Linked DNA regions of Cricetulus griseus. The protein of the gene in region 3 purifies or fractionates together with the protein of the main gene of each other region. This does not show direct contact. Links are inferred from orthologs where the notes say so. Each region holds a gene or a part of one and is shown on either strand. Other genes may lie near its edges.

What was found. The genes of interacting proteins can lie anywhere in the genome.
Region 1: the proteins of Abi1 (region 3) and epidermal growth factor receptor kinase substrate 8-like protein 1 purify together in Homo sapiens (co-immunoprecipitation; 4 studies listed by BioGRID and IntAct, with this or other methods). This does not show direct contact. The link is inferred for Cricetulus griseus from reciprocal best matches to the Homo sapiens genes ABI1 and EPS8L1.
Region 2: the proteins of Abi1 (region 3) and Wasf1 purify together in Homo sapiens (affinity purification with mass spectrometry; 6 studies listed by BioGRID and IntAct, with this or other methods). This does not show direct contact. The link is inferred for Cricetulus griseus from reciprocal best matches to the Homo sapiens genes ABI1 and WASF1.
Region 4: the proteins of Abi1 (region 3) and Cyfip2 purify together in Homo sapiens (co-immunoprecipitation; 4 studies listed by BioGRID and IntAct, with this or other methods). This does not show direct contact. The link is inferred for Cricetulus griseus from reciprocal best matches to the Homo sapiens genes ABI1 and CYFIP2.

Annotation. Positions count from the first base shown.
Region 1 is NC_048602.1:23,143,755-23,147,908, forward strand, and holds the start of epidermal growth factor receptor kinase substrate 8-like protein 1, read left to right. Parts: upstream 1-1,354; coding exon 1,355-1,371; intron 1,372-4,154. UniProt on the Homo sapiens protein: Stimulates guanine exchange activity of SOS1. May play a role in membrane ruffling and remodeling of the actin cytoskeleton.
Region 2 is NC_048595.1:263,394,716-263,398,926, reverse strand, and holds the start of Wasf1 (wiskott-Aldrich syndrome protein family member 1), read right to left. Parts: upstream 2,801-4,211; 5' UTR 2,242-2,800; intron 1-2,241. Other genes in the region: Cdc40 (pre-mRNA-processing factor 17), read left to right, coding at 3,240-3,428.
Region 3 is NC_048596.1:211,226,103-211,229,602, forward strand, and holds part of Abi1 (abl interactor 1), read left to right. Parts: intron 1-2,837; coding exon 2,838-2,938; intron 2,939-3,500. UniProt on the Homo sapiens protein: May act in negative regulation of cell growth and transformation by interacting with nonreceptor tyrosine kinases ABL1 and/or ABL2. May play a role in regulation of EGF-induced Erk pathway activation. Involved in cytoskeletal reorganization and EGFR signaling.
Region 4 is NC_048600.1:60,846,627-60,850,796, reverse strand, and holds the start of Cyfip2 (cytoplasmic FMR1-interacting protein 2), read left to right. Parts: upstream 1-1,370; coding exon 1,371-1,487; intron 1,488-3,282; coding exon 3,283-3,372; intron 3,373-4,170. UniProt on the Homo sapiens protein: Involved in T-cell adhesion and p53/TP53-dependent induction of apoptosis. Does not bind RNA. As component of the WAVE1 complex, required for BDNF-NTRK2 endocytic trafficking and signaling from early endosomes.

The DNA.
Region 1 (4,154 bases), on a different chromosome or scaffold from region 3:
GATTTGGGGACACAGCAGCATGAGGAGCTGTGTTAAAGGGTGGCATGAGATAAGTCTTCACCCTCAGCTCCACGGGGGATGATTGAAGGAAACCTTCCAAGGAAGATAGATGCAGGCAGGTGGAGTCTGGAGCCAGGGAAAAAGCCAACTGTGGCTAGGTGTCCCGCGAGCCAGGACACATGCTGGCCCCGGAGACACAGTCATATTTGATCTCCTGTTACACACACACACACACACACACACACACACACACACACACACACACACGGTGACAGAGCTATATGAACAAGTGACCCAACCACTCCACACCTTAACTTCCTCACTGGTCAATAGGAAATCTACCCCACCCCACCCCCAGGGCCTCCGAGGACTCTCAGACATATTTGAGGAGGAGCTTTTCACTCAGGTGTGTGACAGCAAATTGTTGTTGTTATTAGTCTGTTGTTACAACGGAAACACACATGATTTCCGGGATCCCCTGCGGGCCAACCCAGCCCCCGCTCACACGCACGCACTTGAGACTGTGTGCCAGCCCCGCCCCTGAGGCACCTCGGGCCAGCAGTGCCAGGTGAGCGCTCAGGTATGCCGGTGCCTGTGCAAGGCCTGGGAGGAGGCAGGAGGAGGAGTCCGGACTACAAGGGAGGGAGAAGCTGAGAGCCAGACAGAACCAGCAGGCAGGTGAGGAGGCCAGACCCCGGAGAGAGGGAGGAGGGAGACCTGGGGGCTGGATACCTGGACCTGAGGGACCAGAGCTGGAGCCTGGACCCCTGGGTCTGAGGGAGCAGAGCTTGGGTCCCTGGGTATGAGGGAAGAGAGCTGAGGTCTAGACTCTTAGATAGGAGATAAGTCTTAGAAGACTTATCTCCTGCACCCCCAGATCTCAGCAAGGAGGCTTGGAGGCTAGAGTCTTGCATCTGAGAGATAAGGTCCGCCCTGGACCCCTGGGTCTGAACCAGGAGGTCTGAGGTCTAGACTCTTGTATCTGAGGGATAATGTTCTCTCTGGCCCCCTGAATCTGAGGGGAAACGGCTGGGGCTTGGTAATCTGGGTATGAGAAAGGAGCAGACTGGGGAGGTCTGGACTTGAGGGTCTCTTCAGGAAGAGAGTGGAGCCTACCTAGACTCCTAAGGAAAGAGGTCCCCTGGGTGAAGGGGAAACGTCAAGTCTTAATTCCTGGGCCTGAAGCAGGGATCCCTGGGTCCAAAGCAGCCAGGCTGGGGCCTGGGCAACTAGGTCTGAGGGAGGAAGGAGGGTTGAGCCAGGGTCAAGTCACCGAGCCAAGTCAGTGACTCACGTCTTTGCCGGCTCTCAAGGCACCTACCTCCAGGTGGACAGAGCACCTCATCCTGCCACCATGAACACCACCACGGGGTAAGTGGCCCCTGTGCCCCGCCAGCCCTCGCCCCTCCAACCCTTCCCCCACACCTGCCGATCCTGTTTCTACAACCCAGGCTCTACACACTGGGAGGAATGCTCCCCTCCCTGCCCAGCCTGTGGTCAGGCACAGACAGAAGGGCTTTGGTTGGAATATGCATAGCGTGTCACAGTGTGGCATGCCACCGCCTGGAACCCAGCCCCTCCCCTGGATAAATGGGAATGGGGACCTATTTTGAGAGCTGACAGGACTCAGCCAGCTGTTTGGCCATTCCCGCAGTAGGCACTCGGGCCTTTGGGAACTGTCATTTCTCTCCCATCCTGATCTTAGTATTAAACATCGGCCCTCTGCTAGAAAAGCATGAGGACAGTGCAGACTCGAATCTCCCGGAGAGAGTGGGCAGGAAGACAAAGGGGGTAGAAACGAAACCATTGAGTAGAGACATGCCACAAGCAGGATCCAGGTAAACGGCAGGAGTCTCACTAAACCTGACTGCCTGCCTAGCTCTGGCCCGCTGTTATTCTCATAGAAAGGGGGATTTAAGAAATTACAGGGGGAGGGGTGGCTGAGCAAGGAGAGTGCTTGCCTAGCATGTGTGAAACACGGGGGTCTAATCCACTGCACCGATACAACGTTAATCCCAGCACTCAAGGGGCAGAGGCAGAGGCTGGCAGAGCTCTGCAAGTTCAAGGCCAGCCTGGTGTACATAGCAAGTTCTGGGCCAGCTAGGGATCCGTAGTGAGGCCCTGTTTCAAAACACATCTAAATAAATTAACCAGTCTGAGCCGGGCGTTGGTGGCCCACGCCTTGAATCCCAGCACTCGGGAGGCAGAGGCAGGCGGATCCCTGCGAGTTCGAGGCCAGCCTGGTCTCCAGAGCGAGTTCCAGGACAGGCTCCAAAGCTACACAGAGAAACCCTGTCTCAAAAAACCAAAAAATAAAAATAAAAAATAATCAGTCTGGAGGATTATGCCTATATTCCAGTACTGAGGATATGAAAAGGCAGGAATATCAGGAGTTCAAAGTCATCTTCAACTTTGGGACCAGCCTGGCCTGCATGTGACTGTCTCAACAAAAGAGAATTATTGCAAGTGGTAATTTTTAAAAAAAAAACTTTATTTACTTATTATGCATACAGTTATCTGCATGCATGCTTGCACACCAGATCTCATTACAGATGGCTGTGAACCACCATGTGGTTGCTGGGTATTGAACTCAGGACCTCTGGAAGAGCAGCCAATGCTCTTAACCTCTGAGCCATCTCTCCAGCCCTGCAAGTGGTAATTTTAAGAGGAGACTGAAGACACTTGCCTGGGAAGACTTGAACCATGGCACGAGGGAAAGGAGATAATTCCAAGCGTACTCTGGCTACTGAAAGTCGTTGTATCAATTCCCATTTATCCTTGGTTGGGAGACTAGCCTTTCACGGCTGAGCCATCTCTCCAGCCCTCAATTCCCATTTATTGAGCAACCACTGTGTGCTAAACCCTGACCAAAATCAGATTATTAATCATTACTGAGACTAAAAAAATATTTCACCTACTGGGCTGAATTTATACAACGACGACACCAGGTAGACACTGATATGTTACAGGAAGGGAAACTGCAGTTGGAAAGATTAAGTCCCCTTACCAGGGTCTTGTCAGGGTGTTTTTTTTTTTTTGTAGGTTTATTTTTATTTATGTCTGTCTGTCTGTCTGTCTGTCTGTCTGTCTGTCTGTGTGTTTGTGCACATGAGTGTGGTGCCTGCAGAGGTCAGAAGAGAGCGTTGCATCTCCTGGAGCTGGAGTTGCAGGCAGTTGTGAGCTGCCTGACGTATGTGTTGGGAACTGAACTGCTCAGCCATCTCTCCAGCCCCGAGGTCTTAGTTGTTTGTGTTAGTTGGGGTTTTGTTTTGTTTTCTGTTGTTTGTTCTGTTTACAGGATCTTGCTCTTGTTTTTATATTTCAAGACAGGGTCTCACTATGTAGCCCAGGCTGGCCTCAAACATATAGAAATCTCTGTCTCCTGAGTGTGTACTGGGATGACGAGTGTGCACCAATCACGCCAGACTCTGCTCTTTATCTCTGTGTTGGTCAATGTTCTCTATAGGGACAGGACTGGTAGAATGGACACACACACACACACACACACACACACACACACACACACGCGCGCGCGCACGACTTATTGGAATGGCTTACAGGCTGTGGTCTGGGTAGCCCAACAATGCTGTCTCATGACAGAAGGGCCAAGAATCCAGTCCATGTTCAGTTTCCAAGGCCCGATTTGTGAGCAGTCCCAGTCTGGTGCTGGAGTCCCAGGAATTCCTAGAGAGCCGCTGGTCTTTGCTCTACATTGGAATCCCAAAGAAGTGTGTTCTAATATCAGTGAAGGAATGCCTCAGTGACAGGATAGACGAGCCTGCCAGAGAGAGTTCGGGCAAGCAGGCAAAAAGCAGGAGTTTTCTACTTCCCTGTCCTGGGTGGGATCCAGGGTTAGGATGGGTCTCCCCACCTCAAATGATCCTACTGAGAAAATCCCTCATAGGCATGCCCAGATTTGAGTTGACTCCAGTTGTAGTCAAGTTGACAGCCAGAATTAGCCAGCAGTCTTTTTTTAGTTGTATATGTCCCTCTGTCCTTCCCTCTGCCTGTGTGTGTGTGTGTGTGTGTGTGTGTGTGTGTGTGTGTGTGTATTTCTGTGTCTGTCTGTCTCTCTGTCTCTATCTGTGTCTCTTTCTATCTCTATGTGAGTCTCTGTGCGTCTATCTGTCTCTGTCTGTGTGTCTGTCTTTTTG
Region 2 (4,211 bases), on a different chromosome or scaffold from region 3:
AAGTAAAGACTGTAAGGATATAGTCTTTCAATAGTAGTTTTTGCTGTGAAAAGGAAGGGATTAATCTTTCAACAAGGAAACCACATATATCCTCTACTGTTAACATGAAGGTTAAGCCTTTGGAAAAGATATCTTAAAATATTCTTAAAATTAAACAAAAACTATAGTATTATACTACAGTAATGCACCATCTCTCAATACATGGGCATTTATGAACCCTAGTGATAAAGCTGACCTATCTTTCAAGTGATCACAGTTATAAATTCCATTAGCCAAAAATTTTAAACCAAAAGACCTTCAATATTTTCTAGACTCTTCATGAATTTAATTCAGTATTCTACTTGTTACCAGTCATTTTATCAGTGTATCTGTAATTATTGTATGTATGCATGAAGCCTAAATTAAAAACCACTAGCAACATCAAATGTAAACCAGCCATTTTTGAGTGCCATGGAAAAACATACTGAAGCATTTTCATGATTCAGCAATTAAAGTACTTAAAATTAGTTAAAAAATACTATGAAACTATCTTCTCTGAAATAATGCCTAATATCTTGTGAAAAATGACTCTACACCAACAATTTATATGTATGCCACTCACAAGTGCCATTAAACTATTAATGCACCTTCAAACTCTTGCATTGCCTGTGTGTAACCCTGTTTTTATCAAAACAAACTTAAACACAAAAAGATGGGAAGGATGACAAAAAGGGAAAAAAAGATGTTTCTGGTAGTTAACAATTTGTTTCTAAATAATACCACTTAAGTTGTAAGTAACTAATGTTTGTTTCTTATGTTTTCAAAATCATATTTCATCCTTAAAGTAGAGTATGCAAAACTGGATCTACTCATCCACAATAAAAGTCAGAAAAGAATAAGGGAAAAAACTGCAACAGTAATAAAATATACTGTAAAATTAGCTAAGTGAGAAGTAAAATCCAAGTAAGTTAAGGATTAAGATCCCCCTTAAAAATTAAATTCTTCCTTTCGTTCAAATAAAGGCTATGATTAGTAATCAAATTTCACAAATACGAAATACAAAACTTTCATTATTCAAAACAAAAAATGTGTATTAACTACTTTATTAAAATATTCAAAATAAAAATGATTTCCAGCAGAAACTTGGATCATCAGGGATAAACTGTTCCTTCGAGTTCCAACTGGGATTGCATTTGTTAATTGTGTTACGCCGATATCAGCAATTAGAAAAGTTAAAGTTTACCAAATTAAATTTATAAACATCAATGGACTAAACAACTATTGAAAATTAATCACAACGATTACTGAACAGAAACAAGACTTCGCTAATTTGTGAACATCAAGAAAAAGATGTAATTAGAGCCTCAGGCACATTTCGTATAGTCAAGGATAAGGTCAGAATGAGTAGTATTCAAATACCTATTCTAGCTAGGTATTAATCAATTAGTCGGTCACAGGGCAGATCGTGAATGTTCGGATCGGATGAGCTCTCTTTTCACCATTATTCTAGTTCATCATCCGCAAGTGCAAGAGAAGGTGTCGGAGTACGGAAGCTAGGGGGCATGCTGTAGCTAGGGGAAAAGAAAAATGGGAAAGGTGCAATGGATGCTGCATAGTTGAATAATTATCTGGGTGGCACAATGGGCGAGTCCTGCCGACATCAGAGCCCGGCGAGCATCTCCCTAACTCTGCCCGAGGAACCTCCCGATTCCCAGGCATCAGAAGAGACGGCAACCGCTTCTCTTCCACACGGGAAAATAAAGGGATACCCGCACTCGCTTTACCGCTTTACCGCTGTCGTGCACGGGGAGCCGCGGCGCGAAGACGCGCGGCCAGAGCTCGCTTTTCAGAGCGGCAGGCACACAGGGCGAGCCGGGGCTCCGCGGTGGGCTGCAGCCTTGGCCGGCGCCGAGGCACGAGGGCGAAGCGGCGGCGGGGTGGGAGCCGCGCGCCCCGGACCGCACGGCACCGCAGGTGAGAGCCGCCGCCGCCGCCGCCGCTGCACCCGGAGCAGCCTCGGGCTGGTCCCCACAGCCGAGACCCGCGCCCTCGTCCTCCACGCGCAGCCCGGGCTGCTAGGCGGCGGGCGCGGGGGAGCCCGGGATGGGGGCGGGGGCGGGCGGCGCGCCCATCATCGCCGCCGCCGCGGCCGCAGACCCGGGCTCCCACACACGCCCCTCTCGGCTCCGGCCGATGGAGAGCAGTTCCCCTGCCAGGACCCGGGGAAGAAAGGGGACAAAATCCTGACAGACTCGTGCTCACCGAGAAACCGTGGGGGGCTCGCGCCTTACCCCTTCTTCATGCTTCGGCGGCGGTCGCCGGTCCCGCTCCGCGCTGGGACTTCACCGAGAGCCCCTCGGGAGCGCCGGGCCGCGGGGTGGAAGCCGCGCCGGGCACTGGCTGGGGCGCCGGGCCGCCGGGAATGCCGCCGGGGGCGCCACTGATGGCCCGAGCCGCGGTGCGCGCGACGCGCGAGCGAACAACACCGCGAGCCGCCGCTGCCCTGCGCCGCCCCCTCCCCGCGCGACGCTCCACAACCGGGCGCGGGGACCCGCGCCTGCAGCAGGGGGAGCCGCGGGGCGCTCTCCGCCTCGCCCCACAACCTTCCCCCGGAGCTGCGCCAGGCGGGCCCCAGGTCTCCGAACTGAAGATTCGCACTGTCCCCTTGAGTCCCGCAGGGCGTAGGGTCGCAGGGCGGGAGACTCAGCCTCCGCTCACGTACTCGTCCGTGGGCAAGAGGACGGAGCTTCCCCCTGTCCTGAGGCTCCGTGGTATTGCCCAATCCGCACTTTGGGGGAGGGGGCCGCAGAGAACGATGCTGGGCTAGGGAATGAGGGAAGATGATATCCAATTGAATGAACCATCCTTTGGGGGCGGGGTCGAAGGCCGACCCCTCAGCCCGGCTCCGCCTCCTCCCTCCAAACTACAATTCCCATGGTGCCTCGCGCTTCCCACCGCTCTGCACGCCGGGAGTGGAGGACCTCGAGGCTTCAAAGGTATCTCAGAACTGTGGGGCTTTAATCAACGAGGTCCTGAAAGTTATAAGTAGTTGTAATTCCTTGTGCTTATCTAGATTAATGTTTGCGAGTCTCAGATACTGATGCAGTCAGAGTAATAATCATTATATTTTTTTCAGGAAGTTATAAATGATTTTTTGTTAAAGAAGGTAAATAAAGTGTTCCTTGGCAATCTGTCAGGACCTGGGAGTCGCTGCTTCTTCCGCCCTGGCCTGACCACAGCAGAGAGGATCTGTTGCAGTCATGTCCGCTGCGATTGCAGCTCTAGCTGCTTCGTATGGCTCGGGTTCAGGGTCCGAATCGGACTCGGACAGTGAGGGCAGTCGGTGTCCGCTGCCAGCCGCCGACTCTCTCATGCACCTGACCAAATCGCCTTCAGCCAAGCCCTCTCTGACAGTGGCGGTAGATTCGGCTCCGGAGGTGGCGGTTAAGGTAAGTGTTTTGGTCACTGATGGGTGCGGGAATTGGTTTCAGATCCCAAACCGCTCGTCTCCGGTGAGGTGCTGAGAAGTAAATTACTAGCGTTTACGCGTCGTCCCACATCTTCCTCCACTACCCCTCTGCTGTCTCCATCGCATAAAAGTGGTCCAAGAGGGGAAGAAAGTTTGAATTCTAGGCTAGGACGTAGTCTTATTAGAGCAGAAGTTTAGAACATAGCTAAAAGCGCATCAGGACTTCCTAACTAGAATTTGTGCCCTCACCAGAAGCGAGCCGTGGCCAGGCACTGTTTTGTTTTTAAGAAACTAGTCTCGAATCCTGGCTTCACTACTTGCAAATTATACAACTTCCTCTTGTATAATGGAGATAGTTGTTTAAAAACTTACCTATACCGGGGGGTTATTGTAAAGATTAAGTGAAATTATATAGTAAAGTTTATATAACACAGAGCCTAATAATCTAGTAAGAGGGCAATACATGCTAGCTATTTGTGATTGTATATGTTAATACAACGAGTGGGAAAGGGGCATAAGCTTTAAGAAGTAGCATGCATGGACCCAATGAAGGAAGGTGATAAAGGAAAAAACCCAGCTATGTAGTTCTTTATTAAGCACGTATCATTTTCCAGAAACAACAGGACTGAAAGCCACAGAGGCCAACAAAACCGAACATACTGGGAGCATTAGTGCATACTGGAATCAATTAGATGTGGACAAAAATGTAGTTACAGATTGGATTGAACACTGGGAGGGGGAAATAACCATGGTAAAGAATAAG
Region 3 (3,500 bases):
TTAGACAAAAGGTTAAATGTCATAGAAGTTCCGTGGCTCAGTTGGACCCTGAGAGATCAGAGGAAGAACACTTAACTTGTTTCTGGACAGCGCTGGTAAACTAGGGTGTGTTAAAAATCCTCTAGAGAACAGCTGCCCAATGGGCTTTATGAAGGATCTACCTTGGCTGCTGAATTAATTACAGGGTCAGAGTATGTTTTTTCCAAAGTGGAATCTTATTCAACCACTAGTTATTTAGAATGACTTTATTAAATACCAGTCGGTAACATATAAAACATAGTATTGTTGATTTTTCCAGATGCTCATTGTGTTGAAATACAAACATCTTTTTTTAAAAAGAAATTTAGAAATGTATCCTAGAAATGTCATTATGTCAGGATTTATGGGTTACTTAAGCACTGTTGCAAATATATTGACATGGCAGACAATATGTAAATGAATCAGCATGGCCATGGCCTAGTAAAATTTTACTTATGGTACTAAAATTTGAATTTCATATAATTTTAATGTTTTCAAAAATATCATTCCTCTTTTGAGTTTTCCCTCACTATTTAGGGGGGAAAAAGTTAGCTCATAGGCAAAATTTGGGCTTTTGTCCAGTTTTAGCTCACAGGGTATACTTTGCTACTACTTACCCTGTGTTACATAAGAAACACTGAAGTCAGGAATTGCAGAAGAGCTTAAATGTACATATATTCCTAGGTCTGACACAAAGCTGAATATTGAGTTCCTGGCTTGAACGAGTTGAGAATCTCATTTAAGCTAGTTTGTTCTGTCAGTGGATTTTTTTTTTTTTTTTTTTTTTTGGTTTTTCGAGACAGGGTTTCTTTGTGTAGTTTTAGAGCCTGTCCTGGCACTCGCTCTGGAGACCAGGCTGGCCTGGAACTCACAGAGATCCGCCTGCCTCTGCCTCCCGGCTATCAGTGGATTTTTAAATGTATTTTATTACAATGTGATTATCCAGTTGTAAATTGATTATATTGGAGAGTAAAATAATCTTACCGAGGCACTATAAATCTTTGCCTTCTTGGGTTTGTGGGCATACTGATCAAACCATATTGGTTTTGAAATATAGTATGAGCCAGGCACTGTGGTGGTGCGCATTTGGAAGGCAGTGGCTGGAGGATCCTTTGAGATTAGAAGTTTGAAATTAGCCTAGGCAACATAGTGAGGGGCAGGTGTGCTAGTCTCAGCTAGGACAGACTCTTGGCTCCGAGGGAGTTCCAGAGAGTTTATCAGTAGCAGCTATTCTAGTCTGTGAAACCTTGAAACTTTGTTCTGTTGTTGCTGTGTTAGGCTCATTGTCTTACTGTTCTATTGCTGTGAAGAGATGCCATGACCAGCATGGCATGGGAACTCTTATAAAGGAAAGCATTTAATTGAGGCTTGCTCGGAGTTTTAGAGGTTTAGTTCTCTAAACCTCTAAATTATCATCATGGGAGCGTGGCAGCATGCAGGTAGACATGTGCTGGAGAAGGAGCCGAGAGTTCTATATTCGATCCATAAGCAGCAGGAAGAAAGAGATACTGGGTTTGGCAACCTCAGAGTCTACTCCCAGTGACACACTCCAACAAGGCCATTCCTATCTCCAACAAGGCCCCTTTAACCCTTCTCAAGAAGTGCCACTCCCTGATGACTAAGCAATCAAATTTGTGGGCCTGTGGGGGCCATTCTTATTCAAACCACCACACTCATTTTCCAGAAAATTTCTTATCACCTTTCTTAAATTTGCTTTTATATATTATATTTTGTTGTCTTTGTTTGTTTGCTTGTTTCTGAGGCAAGGTCTCACTATGTAGCCCTGGCTGGCCTGGAACTTGCTTTGTAGACCAGGCCTCAAACTCATAGAGATCCTTCTGCCTCTGCCTTCCCGGTACCGGGTTTAAAGCCGTGCATCCATGTGCCCAGCCCAGCTTGTTTATGTTTGGGAAACATGGTTTTGCTATGTAGTCCAGACTGACTTAGAAATTGTAAAACTTCATCAGTCTCCTGGATGCAGGTATTATAGGTATGTGCCACCATGCCTGTTTCACTTTTCTATAGGTAGAGATTGTGATACTGGTTTTCATTCCCAGTGTCCTGTACATTCCTTTTTGTATGTACAAAATCTGTCACACTAATTTTTGAGTTTGTGTTCTTATGTTCTGCTGTTGAGTTCTGTTCACTGTTCTTTTCTGAGGAAGGAGGAGGAGAAATAAGAGCCTGACTATGTACTCCAGGTGCTTTTAGACCTCGAACCTCTAGCCAATGATGAAAGCCGTGTGTGCTACCACAACAGGTTCTTTATTGTTAACCACATTAAGGTTTAAGTAGACACTTGTAACTCTATGTACTGTGAGGCTTTAATGCTCATACATTTTTAAAAGATTATTATTACCATATTAAGACAAGGTCTCATTATGTAGTCCTGACTGGCCTCGAGCTCACAAAGATCCACCTGCCTCTGCCTTCAAAGTGCTGAGACTAAAGGTCAGGTGGGATTTTGAGTACTTTTATATATTGGTTTCAGGATTTTAGAAGAACAGTGAAACACAAGAACAGTTTTAAGTATTAGGGTAAAGTTTTATAACCAAGTTAAAATGAATTTTTAGTACACCCAGTTTATGATTGTTTTTTTTTAAATCAATTTTTTTTTTTTTTTTTTTTCCAGACAGGGTTTCTCTGGGTAGCTTTGGAGCCTATCCTGGCACTCGCTCTAGAGACCAGGTTGGCCTCGAACTCACAGAGATCCGACTGCCTCTGCCTCCCAAGTGCTGGGATTAAAGGCATGTGTCACCACCACCTGGTTTAAAATCAATTTTTAAAAATGACCTTTCAAATGCTTCTGTTCTTTGTAGTGGAAGTAGTGGAGGAAGTGGAAGCCGAGAAAACAGTGGGAGCAGTAGTATTGGCATTCCCATTGCTGTGCCTACGCCTTCACCTCCCACTGCCGGCCCAGGTATGTTGTTCAGTACTCTCAGGGTTAGTGTGTGATACTTGTTAACTTTGTAAGGGAAGCTAAAATAACTGATTCATTTTGGCTAAAAATTATTTACTGGATTGTGGCTATAGCTATAATAAAGGCTAATTAATAACAAGTATATTTTTAGATTAATTTTCACAAACTTGGGGTTTTATCAGCTGTATGTATATGATACAGAGAAATAGTTTTGTTAGGTCAGTTTTTAGCCATTTTGCTTTTAGCTATACTTGTCTTTGTAAATAGTTAAGATTGATGTTTATTATTTCAAAAGCAAATCAATATTGTATATTTCATTTAGAAGGTCAGTATTGCTAAACTAATGTATTTGTGACTTTCTTATTTATATATGAGAATCAGCACCTATTTTAGTGAAATGCAGTGACTGTAAGATGAGATTTAAAAATAGGAAAACTTATTTTACCTTTTTAGAAAGTAAAGGCATTCTGGGAGAACATTCGGTTAACACTTTGGAGTTTAGTCAGTAAAATGGAGACTTTTTTTGAGATAAATTATTTCTGTGTAGTCCAGGCTGTCCAGA
Region 4 (4,170 bases), on a different chromosome or scaffold from region 3:
TGTGTGTGTGTGTGTGTGTGTGTGTGTGTGTGTAAGAGGACACTAGATTCCCTAAGTAATTACCATTTCTGTTTGAATCACTCCATAGTTGTGAGTAGTTTTGTGGGCTTATAAGTTTTCAAAGGAGTGATTTGGGGGATTCTAATCTGCACTGTTGATGCTCTCACCATGTTGTTGGTTTTGTTTCACTTGGGGGGATGCAGTTTGAGATCAGTCTCACTTTGTAACCAGACAGGCCTTCAACTTGCTATGTAACCCAAACTAGCCTCAAAGTCATTGAGTCCTCTGCCTCAGTCTCCTAAGTGCTAGGATTGCATGCAAGCATCACCACACCTGATTTAGCATATCATTTTTGGAGGCTACTTGTGGGAACCCAATTTATACACTAAATCATACATTATAAGTCTTTAATTTCGCATGTAATTTGGGGTTTACAAAATGAATCTTCTGCTTGCACAGTGCTGTGTTCTTAAAATAGCAACTAACTTGAGTTGGTTAACTGCCCTGCTCAGTCCTTTCTGCTTCACTGCCTTGCAGTTTCCCTCCAACCAGCCGCATTCTGCCTGGGTTCAAGACACAGAAATATCTATTAAGGGCTGATTGCTTTGGCGTGATTCATAAAATGTCCTCAGACCAAGGGACACACTGCAGCTTCACCATTGCTTCAAGCAGGCTGGTTTGCAGGAGTTGACAACTGTACAGACCCTGCTTAACTAGCCTATAAAATCTAGGTGTAGGTCTCCTTGGTTGTCCTGGCTGTTCAGTCATGGATATTTATCCTGTACCGGTATCTAAGAAAGGAACTGATGAATGTCCTTATGACAGGAGGCCTGTGTCCCCATGCCCAGCATCAATCCAGATTCTTTACCCTTGCTTACTTGACTGTGTGGGTGTCACATTACTTCTCAGAGCTGTGTTTCTTTACTGCTTGTGTGTTGGCAGAATCCAACTCTGCATGCCGGTAGAAAATGGTTGTGGTAAGGCTCAGCCAAGATATTTATTATTTATGTGTGTTCATGATGTGGTATTGTGGCATTTCATGTTAAGGTGGGTGTGTGCAGGTCAGAGGACAACTTGGGGGAATCTTTTCTCTCCTTTCACCATGTGTGGGTCCCAGGGATGGAACTCTGGGTCATCTGGCTTAGCGGCAAGTGCTTTACCCACTGAGCCATCTCACCAGCCCTGATCCTCAAATTTTAAAGGTGTAGATAGAAGACATCTGTGAGAGTAGCCTACATGACTCTTAACCCTCTCCACTCTCCACACGGAGTTTGGATAGGGTGAGGCCAAAGGAAATATTTGGAGGACCCTGAAATTCTCCCTTGTCCTTTTCTTCCTCCCTATCAGCGTGGAAGACAGACACCGCAGTCATGACCACCCACGTCACTTTGGAAGATGCCCTGTCCAATGTGGACCTGCTGGAGGAACTGCCCCTCCCAGACCAGCAGCCATGCATCGAGCCCCCGCCATCCTCCATCATGTACCAGGTAATGGAAATGGCAGCATGCAATGGAGAAACCTAGATTCTAGAGTTCCTCTAAGAGGACCTGCCCTGGAGTGTAGGGAAGGTGAAAGGGCAGGAGCTGATGGATCTCCTATGCACTATAAGAACCCAGCAGAAGGAATAGATTAACTAATAAATGTGTGCCAGGTTCATGTCCCTCCCCTAGGGAGCGTTTGTTGATCTGTTCTAACCCTAAATTCCTTCTGGGCTGTTCCTGTTGTTGCATCACCCAGGTTATGGCATCCCTAAGCTCATGAATTAAATATCACAATTTGGAAGCCTCTGGAGCCTGCCTGGATAATTGCTTTTCCTGAATATGTATGGCAAGAGCTCACACAAGTCCACACAGCAGCCAGTGGCTCAGGGAAGTGGATCACAGTTATTTGCTTTGGCCCTAAATCAGATCTGGTGATAAGCCACCATCCCATTACACAGAGCTATGACCCTGGCAGGCCTAGTGAGGAGGGCATCCATGCACCTGGAAGCAGCCTGGCCAAAGCCCCTTGTCTGGGTGTACCAGGCTGAATGCCATGTTAAAAAGGAATGTGTTAGTTTGGAAATTGGGGCTGTATTAGACCTTTTTGATAAGTCTTGGATGGTGAACTATGACTAAGTATAATTCTATGTTTTTCATTTCACTCAATAGTTAAATGAATCTTCACATACTTGAATATTCAGTTCCTAAATCTGATGTATTTGTAGATTTTAACACAGATTACAATTTTAATTATATAAGTATATATTGATTTTAGTTTTATAGGGAAACATTTTCATCATTAACAAAATGGAAAAGTACAGCATGGAAATAAATGTCTTATACTGATATACCCTTCTCTGTATACATAGGCATTTTGTTTTAGTAGATATATATGGTATATGAACTATTTCTTTTACTAAAAACAGGAATTCATGATATGTATTTAAATGTAAATATAGAAAAACTGTCCTGATTCATCTTTTCCTTAACATTTATTGTGGAGCCAGGCGTGGTGGCTCACAGATGTAATCCCAGCATTCTGGAAGCTGGGGAAAAAGGATTGCGGTGAGTCCGAGGCTAGCCTGGGCTACAGAAAGAGCCTCTGTCTCAAAAATCACAGCAGCAAACACTTCTATGGATATCGTTGGACATCAGTGCTGTGGTAATGCCACCTTACGTTCAAGCAGCTCATGCTTCTTCCAGCCCATTGTACAGAAAGACTGTCATCTACTTCAGCTTTTGCTGGCTGGTTTCATTGTTTCCAGGTGGTTGTTTCATTGTAAAAACTGTGTGCTGGCTGACACAGCTACATCTGCGCACCCTCAGGCACCCTGAGGCACGTGTGTATGAATGGCTGGATCAAAGCCATGCACACCTTGACTTTTAGCAGCTGTTTGGACTTGCATAGTTTGCTGGAAGTATGCTTTCCTTGTGCTGGGGCTTTTATTCATCACAACAAGCATATAAACCAGATTAATTTTAAGGCACTTTTCACAAGAATAAATTGGCCAAGTTTATTAGTTAATCCCAACTAACTGGAATTAAAAAGAGTCAATTCGGAATTAAACATTTACTTCTGAGGCTTGGTTGAGCGAAACCGGTCACCTGTGAAAAATAGGTGCTGCCCATTGGCCCTCAGCTGATTTGAGGTGTTAAGGGGTAATATTTGAAAGCCATGGGCAGTAGATTTCCACAGAAAGCTTGTGATTTTTGTTGGTGGCTGTTCACTCCCTAGACATCCAGCCAGCTTAGATGTGTTTTCCAATAATCAAGTGCCCCCTTCTGTCCTCTACCTCGATAGGCTAACTTTGACACGAACTTCGAAGACAGGAATGCATTTGTCACGGGCATTGCAAGGTACATTGAGCAGGCAACGGTCCACTCCAGCATGGTAAGTCTCCATGACCCACATGTGCAGACTCACACCCTGCTGACGCAGGAGGAACCATGTGCAGCTCCCCACAGCAGGCCTGGGCTTAGCTACCCCAATATGCTCCGCCTTAGTGAGCTGGGTTATGGAAGTCCATTCTGGAACCCAGACCCATCCCCTCTCTATGCCTTGGGGCATACTCCATGCCTTGCTCATCTTGCTCACTGTAGGCCCATCTGAACCCCACTGCTCACTTCCCCAAGGCCAGGGCTTTTTATGTACACAGATTTGGGGATGGGGGCGGACATTGTTTGGTCACTTGACAAGGAAAAAAATATCCTTATAAAAATGACAAGTGAGGCCTGGTGGTGGTGGCACATGCCTTTAATCCCAGCACATGGAAGGCAGAGGCAGACAGAACTCTATGAGTTCGAGACCAGCCTGGTCTACAAGAGCTAGTTCCAGGGCAGCCTCCAAAGCCACAGAGAAACTCTGTCTGAAACCCCCCCCTCAAAAAAAATGGCAAGTGAGGTGGCTTTGGAAAATGTCATTTATTGATTCAAGGGAGCTGCTAGCCTAAATCATTCATAAATGGAGCCATTTGTTTTCCTTCTCAGGGTCTGACCCTAAGAGGGTGATTTCTCCTCTCTCTTTTTATCTACAGTGAAGTTTTCAGAATTCTGGGTTCCTTGTCCAAAGGCCCCCGCCCTGGACCCTTCTCACTGTGTGGATTATGTTCTAAAGACCCAACTCATTCATTGACTATTGTGTGTCTGCTGTGAGCTGATTCGAGAATTAGTCTGGGGCCAGTCTCAGTTT